Linked DNA regions of Canis lupus familiaris. The protein of the gene in region 1 interacts with the protein of each later gene in a pairwise test. Links are inferred from orthologs where the notes say so. Each region holds a gene or a part of one and is shown in the gene's direction. Other genes may lie near its edges.

Region 1 (5,338 bases):
AATGCCTATCTCCAGCCACAACTTCTCTCCAAATTTTAGATCTGTGTTATCCACTGGACGTCACCATGGACATATCTATATGGACTCAACTCATTTCCCCCATCAAGTGTGTTCCTCCTTAATTCCAACTCTGATGATCTTTAGCACAGTCTACATAGGCATACCAGCTAGGAACATTTATGGACTTAAATTCTTCCCCAACTCTTACTAGTCAGCATATCATATCCATTCCACTTCAACAGTCTTTCTTGAATATGGTCCTTCTTCTCCCCCCGCCTCTACCCTAATTCATAGGAGCACGGGATTTGGAGTCAGGTTGTTCTGGGCTTGAATCCCAGCTCTACTACTTTTTGGTTTCGTGATAAGAGAGTTACTTAATCTCTCTGAGCCTCAATTCCCTCATATGTAAAATGATGATAATAATACCTACCTCACAGGGTTGTTGTGAGGATTTAAATTAGACTTGTACGAAAAGTGCCTAGCACAGTGCCTGGCACAGAGTAGAATAGGTGCTCAATAAATGGTAGCTATTATTATTACTACTACTACTATTATTATTTATTCTAAATTGGTAGGGTATTATTGATTGAAGATAAAGCTTTTGGAAAGGTAGCAGTGAAGATCTGAGTGCCGGTTCAAGATTTAGAAATGCCTGTATTCAGTCACTTAATGGATTCACATGGTGACCACTGTTTGAGGAAGGCCAGATCTTCATCCTGCCACATTCTGGCTTCTAGCAGGAGGATGCTGGGACAGTAGGGTTTGTAACCAGGTTTGCCCTTTTTTGCCCTTCCTCCCATGATGGGCTCAGCACCAGTGAAGGCATAAGGGAAGCTCTCCGTACAGAAAGAGAAGAGCTAACATTTTCTTCGGGTCCTGTAAAAGTCAAGCAGGGCTTTCATATCTGAGGGTTTGCTCTGTCTTTTCTTCTCAGCTTGGGTGTGAAGATTAACTCTGTTCATTAGAGAAGGGATTTCAAGTTCCATGTCCAGCTAAACTTGCCAGCAGTTTTTTAAGCAACATATATGCCATCACTAGAAGGCACACAGGTCCTGGCCTCAAGGGGTCACATAGGTATGTGTAGTTGGGATAGAACAGACATTCTTGAAAAGCTTTGGCTAGTTTCTTACAAGTATTTGCCTCCTCCATCTTTGCCCTTTTACTTGGGTCTTGATCCCTGGGAAGAGGCTCACATCTGGAACAAATATTTGATGAAAAGTCTTGGGAAAATCAGAGCTGGTGTTAGAAAGCAGTAAATTTAGTGCAAACACTTCTGCCAAGTCGTGTGTGTGTGTGTGTAAAGTGAGCACAGCCAGTGTTCGGACTCCAGAGACGGAAAAGGCCTACAGCAATCTCAAGCTTAACAGATGGGCTTCAACAAATGGCATTAATCCTCCGAAGCTCTCCTAGACGCTGAACAGGATGGATTGCAGACTACAATTCCCAGAATGCTCGGTAGGGAAAATGAAGCGAGTGGAGCGGAGTATGATGGGATGTGGCCACGCCTATCCCTCCCCAAGGCACGCCTAACCCGCTGAAGGCAGTCGGTAGTTGTAGTCTTCCTAAACCTAGAAAGGCTAAAATTGTAAGCTAGAAGGCCGAAGGGCCTGACGGGATTTGTAGTCGGCTCGGTCGCCGGACGCGCACGCGCAACTGTGTTCGGGGCGGGGCCACGGCACTGCGGTGAAAGCCGAGGCAGCGGGCTGGCGAGCAGGGGGCGGGCGGACATCTTGGGATCTGGAGAGTGGCCGGGCGGGCCGAGCAGGCGGCCGCGGACGCCAGGTAAGCTCGGAATCCGGCGGAGAGTAAGGGAGAACGCGTACCCCGCTACCCAGCTTTGCCCTTCCCTGCACTGCGCTGCGCGAAAAGCTGCCCACAGCCGGGAGGGGCCTCAGCCTTCTGATCTGGAGCTGACGGCGGGGCGGGGGCGCCCGGGGCGCGGTTGCAGGGTGGGCAGGGAGCGGCGCCCTCCACCGGCAGTCCGGCGCCTTCCGTGACAGGGAGACCTCCTGGGGTCCCCCCGGAGCCAGGATGCCGCGCGGCGCCCCCTTCCTCGGGATCGTGACAGCCCCCCTGGTGCCTTGGCGCCGCCTCCTCCCAGCGCAAGGACAATTCCCCCATCTCCTCGACGGTGACACCCCCTCGGGCCGTCTCCCTGGGCTGTGACAGGCCTCCCACCAGCCGCACCCCCTCCCCCCAGTTGAGTGACACCCCTCGGCTCTTCTTCCTCAGACCTGTGACAGCCCCCGCAGCCCCGTGGAGCCATGTTCATCCCCGCGATGTCTTGCTCCCCTAGACGAAGAGCCCACCCCCCGTCATGCCTCCACACTTGAACCCTAAAGCAAGTTAACGCCGCCCCAGCTTTCCCCTATTCGCCACTTGTCAGTCTCCTCCCTGCTGTTTCAAAGTCTTGACCTTTGCCACACTGGAAACTCCTTCCTCCAGATGTCCCCGTCCCCCCCCCCGCCCCCCAGCCCCCAGCCCCAGCCCTCTTGCTGCTGCAGGTTCACCTGACTAGACCGCCTGGCTCCTTCTGCCCGTCCTTCCCCTTAGCTCAGTATTCCCCTCCTGCCCTGGGCCCCACCTCCGCTCCTTCGGTGCCCTGCGGCCCCTACCACTTGATATCTGTGAACTTGCTTCTTTGCCCGGGGCTCTACCTCCCATTTTTCATTTCCTTTCCCAGCCTTTTTTGGGACTCTGGGGTGGAATGTGTCCACCACCACCTTGAGAGACCTCTCACTGAGTTGGGGAGACCCTGATGGCCTCAGTAATAGGGCTTTATTTTCCAGTTTAGAAAAGTCTGCTAAACTCCCTCTGCCCTGTAAAATCAATACCAGAGCTAATTCAGGAAATCTAGAATTAAATTAACCCTTTTTCTCCTTGCAAATATTTTGACCCAAATAATTTGGATAATGCACACCTATTCTCTGCCCCTTCCTTATAGGTACTCAGGCCAGAAATGAGTTATGTCATGGTTCTGGAATCATAGAATGTCAGCTGGATTGATCTTTGTGTTTTATAAACCTGTACTCCCACCCCCTTATTTTTACTGCACTTGGGAACTGAGAGGGATCCTCCCTTTTTGAAAGGGAGGTGGTTAAAAATAACTAATAAGCAGCTTGGGTCATTGAAGTGTAGTCGGCCAAGGCTGGGCCCTTTCTCCTCTGCTCTTTTGCCTGCTTATCTGACTGCCTGGGATTGGTTGGAGCCACACTCCAGGGTCTGTGTCAGGGCCTAAGGCCTCCCTTGTCTCCTCCCCACACCCTGCACACCCTTTCCTGGAATGTTTAGACTTCTGTGAATTAGAGAGCCACAGGTTCAGGCCCTGCTGTCTTCTCCGAAGGGTTAGTGGAGCCTGAGAGACCGGGTGCTCCTAAAGCCGTGCCTGGGGGCCCCAGGCCTGAACCAAGTGGAATAATTCCTACCGCCATTCCTGCAGCCGCAGGCAGGCCTTCCCAGTGACTCACCGGCTAGAGTCTGAGTGAGAGTCTGCACAGGAAGGGGCCAAAAAGGATCTGTGCTGAGCTCAGCACTGAAAAGAGGGGGAGGGGGCTACACTCTGGGCTCAGCCCCAGGAAAGGGAGGGTCAAAATGGCCTTAGAATCCTGGGCCCAAGTCCCTCTCCATTTCTTTCTCCTTTCCAGTGTGAGATAAACAGGAACTGGAGCCTGGCTAAGGGGAGGGGCATGCCTGGGGAGGGCTTCAGGGTCACTTACTGGAGGGTTGAGTCAGGAAAAAAAGCCCAGCCAGTGACCTGCACAGCCCCACAGGGGATGTTGGCAGAGGTTCTGAGGCCTTCCCTTACCCTGCCTCCGCCTGTCCTAGGTCTGTTCTCAGAGCGATGGGCCTTGGAGACTGAGCTGCCGCCATGATTGGAGGCTTATTCATCTATAATCACAAGGGGGAGGTGCTCATCTCCCGGGTCTACCGAGATGACATCGGGTGAGTCCCCTGGCTGAGCCAGCTGTGTCCCCACCCCTCATCCCTCCTCCCCAGCATGCAGGACCAGGTCCGTTCCTACCAGAGACTGGACTTTGGCCACCCCCATCCCTCGCTGCATCTTAGAAGCTCAGCTAATACAATCTGGTTCCCATTAGGTCTGGTGGTATTGGCCTGGCAGCCAGTTATTGGCCAATAGGTGGGACCTGTGGAATGGTGTGGCCCCCCACAGTCTTAGGAACTCTTGTCCTTCCTGCCTTCTCCTTTCCTTAGTGACAGACCTAGTTGCTAGAAATGAGTGCTTTTGCCCTGGTAGATGAATTCCTCCCTTGAGGAGGAGGGAGATCTTTCTCCAGGGGGTGAAGTTAGTGGACAGGCTAGTGGTACTAGTCCATCTAAGTCTTGCTCTCAAAAGCCCTTCTCACGGTGAGAGCCTTCACTGAATTCTCTTGAAAGCTTCTCCAGGCTGCCAAATCCTCTCCTACTCCCTTTCTCAGGAGGAGGCAGGCTGCTGACTCAGCTGTTTTCAGTTCCTCTGGGCCACTCCTAGAAGAGAGGTTGTGAGCAAGCTTGGGGCACTCTCCGGGTCACTGAAGGAAGGGCAGGGAGGCCATGCTGCCCTTCCTGGCCTACCAGAGTAGACCCGGAATAGCTCCTTGTTCTAGGTCCCTCAGACCTTAGCAAAGAGACACAGCCTGCCTTCTCACTCTGCCCCACACTGCATGCCACTATTCTTTCCTGAATGAGAGGACATGTCCTAGCCTCAGCAGCTCTAATGAGATTAGGCATCTCTGGTTCATGCTGCCCTGTTTTTCTTCCTCCAAGAGCTTAGGTTAAAGAGTTATAGGATGGGCCTGCTGCAGAGCCCAATAGCTTCTTGGCTCCCAGCTCCCTGGCTAGTGGGCTGGCCTGGCCTTTGTGGCTGTTTGTCCATTGGCTGGTGGTAGGGCATGAACTAGAGTTGTGGCAGTGCCTGGCTTGCCTGAACCTGGCTGGCTATACCCATCCACACCCCCTCCTGCCTGCCCTGGATGGACCTGCTTAAGCCAGGGCACCTACTGTCTTGCATGACTTGCTATGCTTTCCACCCCTTGCCTCTTGCTCGTCTGCTTCCACTTCATGGTGTGTGCAGCCTACCCCAGGATGTTGTGTGTCTAATCCTCTCTCTCGTTGCTGTCACTCTCCTCTTCTTGCTGGCGTCATTTCTCTCATCCCATCTCATTGGCTGCCGTAGCAATAGGTAAGCAGCCTGTCAAGCTGCCGCCCAGGCACAGGTGGGTGGGGGGCCCTGCCCCCCATCATTGTTTTCTTTGTCTGTTTTCATTCCCTGAACTTGTCCTGGAATTGGATCCTGGACGGGAACAAATGGCCCAGCTCCATGGCCCCTTGGTGCTTCTTC
Region 2 (5,302 bases), on another chromosome or scaffold:
CTGAGCTGGATCCTAGGACCCTAAGATCACAACCTGAGCTGAAATCAAGAGTTGGTTGCTTAACCCACTGCACCACCCAGGGACCCCACTTCTATGTGATTCTTATTCTCTCCTCAATAATGAGAGTGTGCGTGAGATTTTCTTACAACAGAAGAACACTGGGAAGTATATTGAAGGGTTTGTAAATAACAAAGTACCTGGTCCTGAAAACATTCTATGCCATGTACCTGTTCCTTGAAATTCTGAAGAATTTCAACTGACTGGAACTGCATGACATGTAACCTAAATATTGTACTCAACAGACTACAGAGGAGTAGTATTTCCCTTGGTGGCTGTAGTCCTTTTTGGTGGGATTACATTTTGACCCGAGTTAACTGGAATATTTTCTGATGTAGTTTTCTGTCACACAAAGACTTATGTTCTGGACAACTCCCAGATCATTTGCTCCTAAATCTGGCTTTGCTCCAGACCCATCCTTTGCCATTTTCCTTATTCTCTGTTATCTAGCAATCTTGTTCTCATCTTTAGACTTCCACAAAATATTAGGCTCCCACCTGCTTCCAGGCCTTCGCACATGCTGAAGGGAGAACTCATCCTCTTCTCTTCAACTTCACCTGGGAGATATCTACACTCTTAAGTTAGGATCTATCATTTTTAAAACTACTCTCTACTAAGCACCTAACCTGGCAAATGATTATAAAACGATTTCAAGCAGCCATTAATGTATAAACATAACAGTACTTTAAACAGTATGATATGGGGATCCCTTGGTGGCTCAGCGGTTTAGCACCACCTCTGGCCCAGGGCATGATCCTGGAGACCCGGGATCAAGTCCCATATCAGGCTCCCTGCATGGACCTGCTTCTTCCTCTGCCTGTGTCTCAGCCTCTCTCTCTCTCTCTCTTTCGCTCTCTGTGTCTCTCATGAATAAATAAATAAAATCTTTTAAAAAAATAAAAAAAAAAACAGTATGATACAAAACTATTTACCCAATGATACAAATTTGGAGGAAAATGAATATGTATAGAAAAGAACAAAAAATACACCAATATAAGACGGAGGAAAAAATAAGTACATACGTAAGTGTTAAAAAAAAAAAAACACTAGAAAATAAAACACTACATAGAAACACAATAAACTAAGTGGTAACTGTAGAATGGTAGGGAGCAAGAACTTTCTCATGTATAGCTTTTTTTTACTGAACCATTAGAATGTACCAAACCAAATATATTAAAATGTTTGCAAGACAGGGACGCCTGGGTGGCTCAGCAATTGAGCGTCTGCCTTCAGCTCAGGGCTCAGGGCGTGATCCTGGGTTGAGGGATTGAGTCCCCATCGCGCTACCTGTGAGGAGCCTGCTTCTCCCTCTACCTATGTCTCTGCCCCCCTCTCTCTCTCTGTCTCTCGTGAACGAATAAAGTCTTTTTTCTTTTTTAATGTCTGCAAGGCAGAAAACACACTAAAACTTTAATAGTGATTATCCCGGAAGAATGGGACAAAGATTTTGTCTTCTATTTCTATAAATACGCTCACTAAATCTTCTATAATGACTGTGAAGAACTTTCATGACCAGAAAAAAGATGTACCTTTGGGGAGACCTCGGAGAGCAGTTTCCGCGGGGTCAGGAAAGAGAGGAACTGGACTGGGAAGGCTCCCGCTACAAAGGTGACGGGATCAGTTTCTGTTTCCAGATGGGAGAGACCTGAGCGCAACACGTTTGTGTGCTACGAGCAAAGAACCATGAGAAAAGAGAGGTTAGAAAGGTGAGCAGTCTGAAGCCCAGGCGCCGGGTCCCAGCGAGTGCAGTCCCCACGGGGCCATCCGCAGGCTAGGGAGCTCTGGCTCTGCCAAAATTGTCTCGGAAATACAAGGGCAAAGAAGGAAAAGGGGACTGACGCTCGTGGTGGACCTGGGAAAGGAAGAAGGTGTAAGCTGCCTGCGCCGAGGGACGCTGCGCCGGCCCCAGCGAGAGCAGAACCACCGTCCTCTCCCGCCCTTGCCGAGGCCCCTCCCCTCGCCTGGGCGTGCGGCGGAAGGACGAGCGCAGGAAGGGGCGGGGCTATGAGCGCCCAGAGTGCGCGCGCGGATGTCGCGAGAGCAGTAGAGAGCGGAAGAGTAGTAAGTGCAGGATGCGGTTCCTGATTGCGTTGGCCCTGCTGAGCCTCGCAGTGGCGGGTAAGACCCCACCCCCAATAATCCTACTATCATCCCTAGGTCCACCGTCCTCACCGCGGCCGGGTCGCTCTCTGAACCCGCTTCTTCCCTGCCGGAGCCACCCCTCCGCTTGCCATCACCCACCTCCCCCGTTTGCCTGTTGCCTCGGTCTCTTCTAGCTCTGAGGGCTCCCTTCTCCCGGATTTCCTCTCTTCAGAGCGAACTGGTTTCTCTATTTCAGTGGCCCCAACAGGAGAGCCTAGCGAGCTGCAGCCACAGCCCGGAGACAACGGCCCTAGCAAGAAGCCCAAGCTTGAGGCCACAGGAGTCGACCCTGACAAGCCCAAGCCTGAAGCCACAGGAGAGGACCCTGACAAGAAGCCCAAGCTTGAGGCCACAGGAGTCGACCCTGACAAGCCCAAGCCTGAAGCCACAGGAGAGGACCCTGACAAGAAGCCCAAGCTTGAGGCCACAGGAGTCGACCCTGACAAGCCCAAGCCTGAAGCCACAGGAGAGGACCCTGACAAGAAGCCCAAGCTTGAGGCCACAGGAGTCGACCCTGACAAGCCCAAGCCTGAAGCCACAGGAGAGGACCCTGACAAGAAGCCCAAGCTTGAGGCCACAGGAGTCGACCCTGACAAGCCCAAGCCTGAAGCCACAGGAGAGGACCCTGACAAGAAGCCCAAGCTTGAGGCCACAGGAGTCGACCCTGACAAGCCCAAACCTGAAGCCACAGGAGAGGACCCTGACAAGAAGCCCAAGCCTGAGGCCACAGGAAACGACCCTGACAAGCCCAAGCCACAGCTCACCAGAGATGACTCTGACAAGATCCCCAAGCCTCAGGCCATGGGAGACAACCCTGACAAGAAGCCCAAGCCACACTCTATGGGAGACGACCCTGACGATGAGAAGCCCAAGCCACAGGCCACAGGAGATGGCACTAGCAAGGTGAAGTCCCAGATGCAGTCCTTGAATGACCACTCCAACAAGCTGGTCTCTAACCCCTCTTCTGATAACAAGAAGCCCACCAAGCCTCACTTAAACATACCAGCCGACAAAGATCCCACTCTGAATGATTATAAAAATGAATCTGAGGAGAGAGTATTACTGGACTCTGACCCCACTTCACAGCAGGAGGGAGAAGGCAAGTCTATAGAGCTTACCGAAGATGTGGAACCCAAGAAGGCTGAGGAAGGGGATACGGAGCCTGAAGAAGGTTCACCACTCCAAGGAGAGAAAGAAATGCCTGGCCTTGCCTCCAGTGAGAACCGTGAAGGGACACTTTTGGATTCTGTGGGTAGGCAGAATGATGACCTTTATAAGGACAGTCTTGGAAGTGCTAGTGCAGAAAGCAGCCACTTCTTTGCTTATCTGGTGACTGCAGCCATTCTTGTTGCTGTCCTCTATATTGCCTATCACAATAAACGGAAGGTAAGTCAAGAACTGTCTTGAGGAATGAGATTTCCTCCACCTTGAAAGCTTGGTGTGTGGGCCAATATCTGTCATTCATCTGCCTGTGAGCACTGGAGATTTCAAGTCAAACTTCAGTTTTTCCTCAGATTCTGCTAGGTCTCTTTACTCTCATTTTATAAATCATTTTCTTTCATGTCCGATTCTTTTGAGTGCCCTCTGCTGCTGTGTTAGGTGCCAAATGAGGACATTTTTATGATCTGACCTGAATTGGGGTCTTCTCCCACAATCTTAAATTTAGATCATTTTACTGCCTCCGAGAATCTGAGTACCTGACAGTTTGTAAGTAGAGTACTTATCTTCCTATTTCCACTCTGAAGATAGTGCATCATTTCTAGTTTCCTTTCCCACACTTTTATCTTGCATCTGCAATGGCAGAAAGAGTGGTTACATAGTCTTTGACATCAGCAGCAGAGAGCCCAGGGACTATCTTCTACAATCGGTTGAGTTTCCGATTAGAAGAATGACCAAAAATTGCATGGATACAATCGTCTTTTAATGTTACAGCAGATTTGGTGTGGAGTAATATCTGTGTTGCTTAGCAACCACTCTGATGACAAATGATTGCATTTCTTATTGAGCTCTAAGAATTTATTTTTTTAAAGATTTTATTTATTCATGAGAGACACACACAGAGAGGCAGAGATACAGGCAAAGGGAAAAGCAGGCTCCATCCCTGGACTCCAGGATCACGCCCCAGGGTGAAGGCAGCACTAAACCGCTAAGCCACCCAGGGATCCCGCTAGCTCTAAGAATTTAGTAGTTTCTATAGCCTGGTTAAAATTGGAGAGTTCAGTTTATGATATCAGTATGCCTATGGCTATGAGGAATGAGGGAAGATATTTAGTAAAAATAGTTCTTTATTCTACATCCAAGTGCTCGTCCCACAGAGTAATCTTAGATGTAAAAGCAGTAAGGTTAAAATGAAGCAAGGTGTGGGGAGGAAAAGTACATTTGCAGATAAGAAATAATTATTGCTTGTGAGAGAAAAGGAATGTCTGATCCTAGAGCTGTGTGGGGCACAGCTGGCAGATCTTTGTGCTCTTGAGTAAATCATCCAGACTCCCACAGGCTAACGGCCAGAATAGTCTTCCTTCATCTGTCATTTCCTGTTTAGCAGTATAAAAGATTCTGATGTAACTGGAGGCCCCGTCCTCCTGAAAACTGTTATAATTTAAAGATGCCTCTTGTGAGTTTGCGGCTCTTTCACTGCCGGGGTCATTAACAAATGTAGTACCAGGGCAGCCCGGGTGGCTCAGCAGTTTAACACCGTCTTCAGCCCAGGGTGTGATCCTGGAGACCAGGATTGAGTCACACGTTGGGCTCCCTGCATGGAGCTTGCTTCTCCCTCTGCCTGCTTCTCCGCCCAACCCACCCCCTCCCTCTCATGAATAAATAAATAAAATCTAAAAAAAAAAAAAAAAAATGTACTACCAGGTGATGACCTCTGATTTCAGAGACTGAAATAAGCCATTGTAGAATCATCTGTTAATTTCTTTTTCCTTTCCCCAGATTATTGCTTTTGTCCTAGAAGGAAAAAGATCTAAAGTCACTCGGCGGCCAAAAGCCAGTGATTACCAGCGTTTGGACCAGAAGGTAAGGAAGGGAGCCCCAGGTGTGTGGGAGGGATATGCAGTCTCAGGTAGGCCCAGCAGTGCACTTGATTTGCACTGGTGGT

What was found.
Region 2: the proteins of AP2M1 (region 1) and TGOLN2 interact in a two-hybrid assay, tested with the Homo sapiens proteins (2 studies listed by BioGRID). The link is inferred for Canis lupus familiaris from reciprocal best matches to the Homo sapiens genes AP2M1 and TGOLN2.

What each region holds. Positions count from the first base shown.
Region 1 is NC_049255.1:17,241,172-17,246,509, forward strand, and holds the start of AP2M1 (AP-2 complex subunit mu), read left to right. Parts: upstream 1-1,663; 5' UTR 1,664-1,782; intron 1,783-3,825; 5' UTR 3,826-3,868; coding exon 3,869-3,942; intron 3,943-5,338.
Region 2 is NC_049238.1:40,036,069-40,041,370, reverse strand, and holds the start of TGOLN2 (trans-Golgi network integral membrane protein 2), read left to right. Parts: upstream 1-1,988; 5' UTR 1,989-2,129; coding exon 2,130-2,175; intron 2,176-2,395; coding exon 2,396-3,585; intron 3,586-5,136; coding exon 5,137-5,220; intron 5,221-5,302. UniProt on the Homo sapiens protein: May be involved in regulating membrane traffic to and from trans-Golgi network.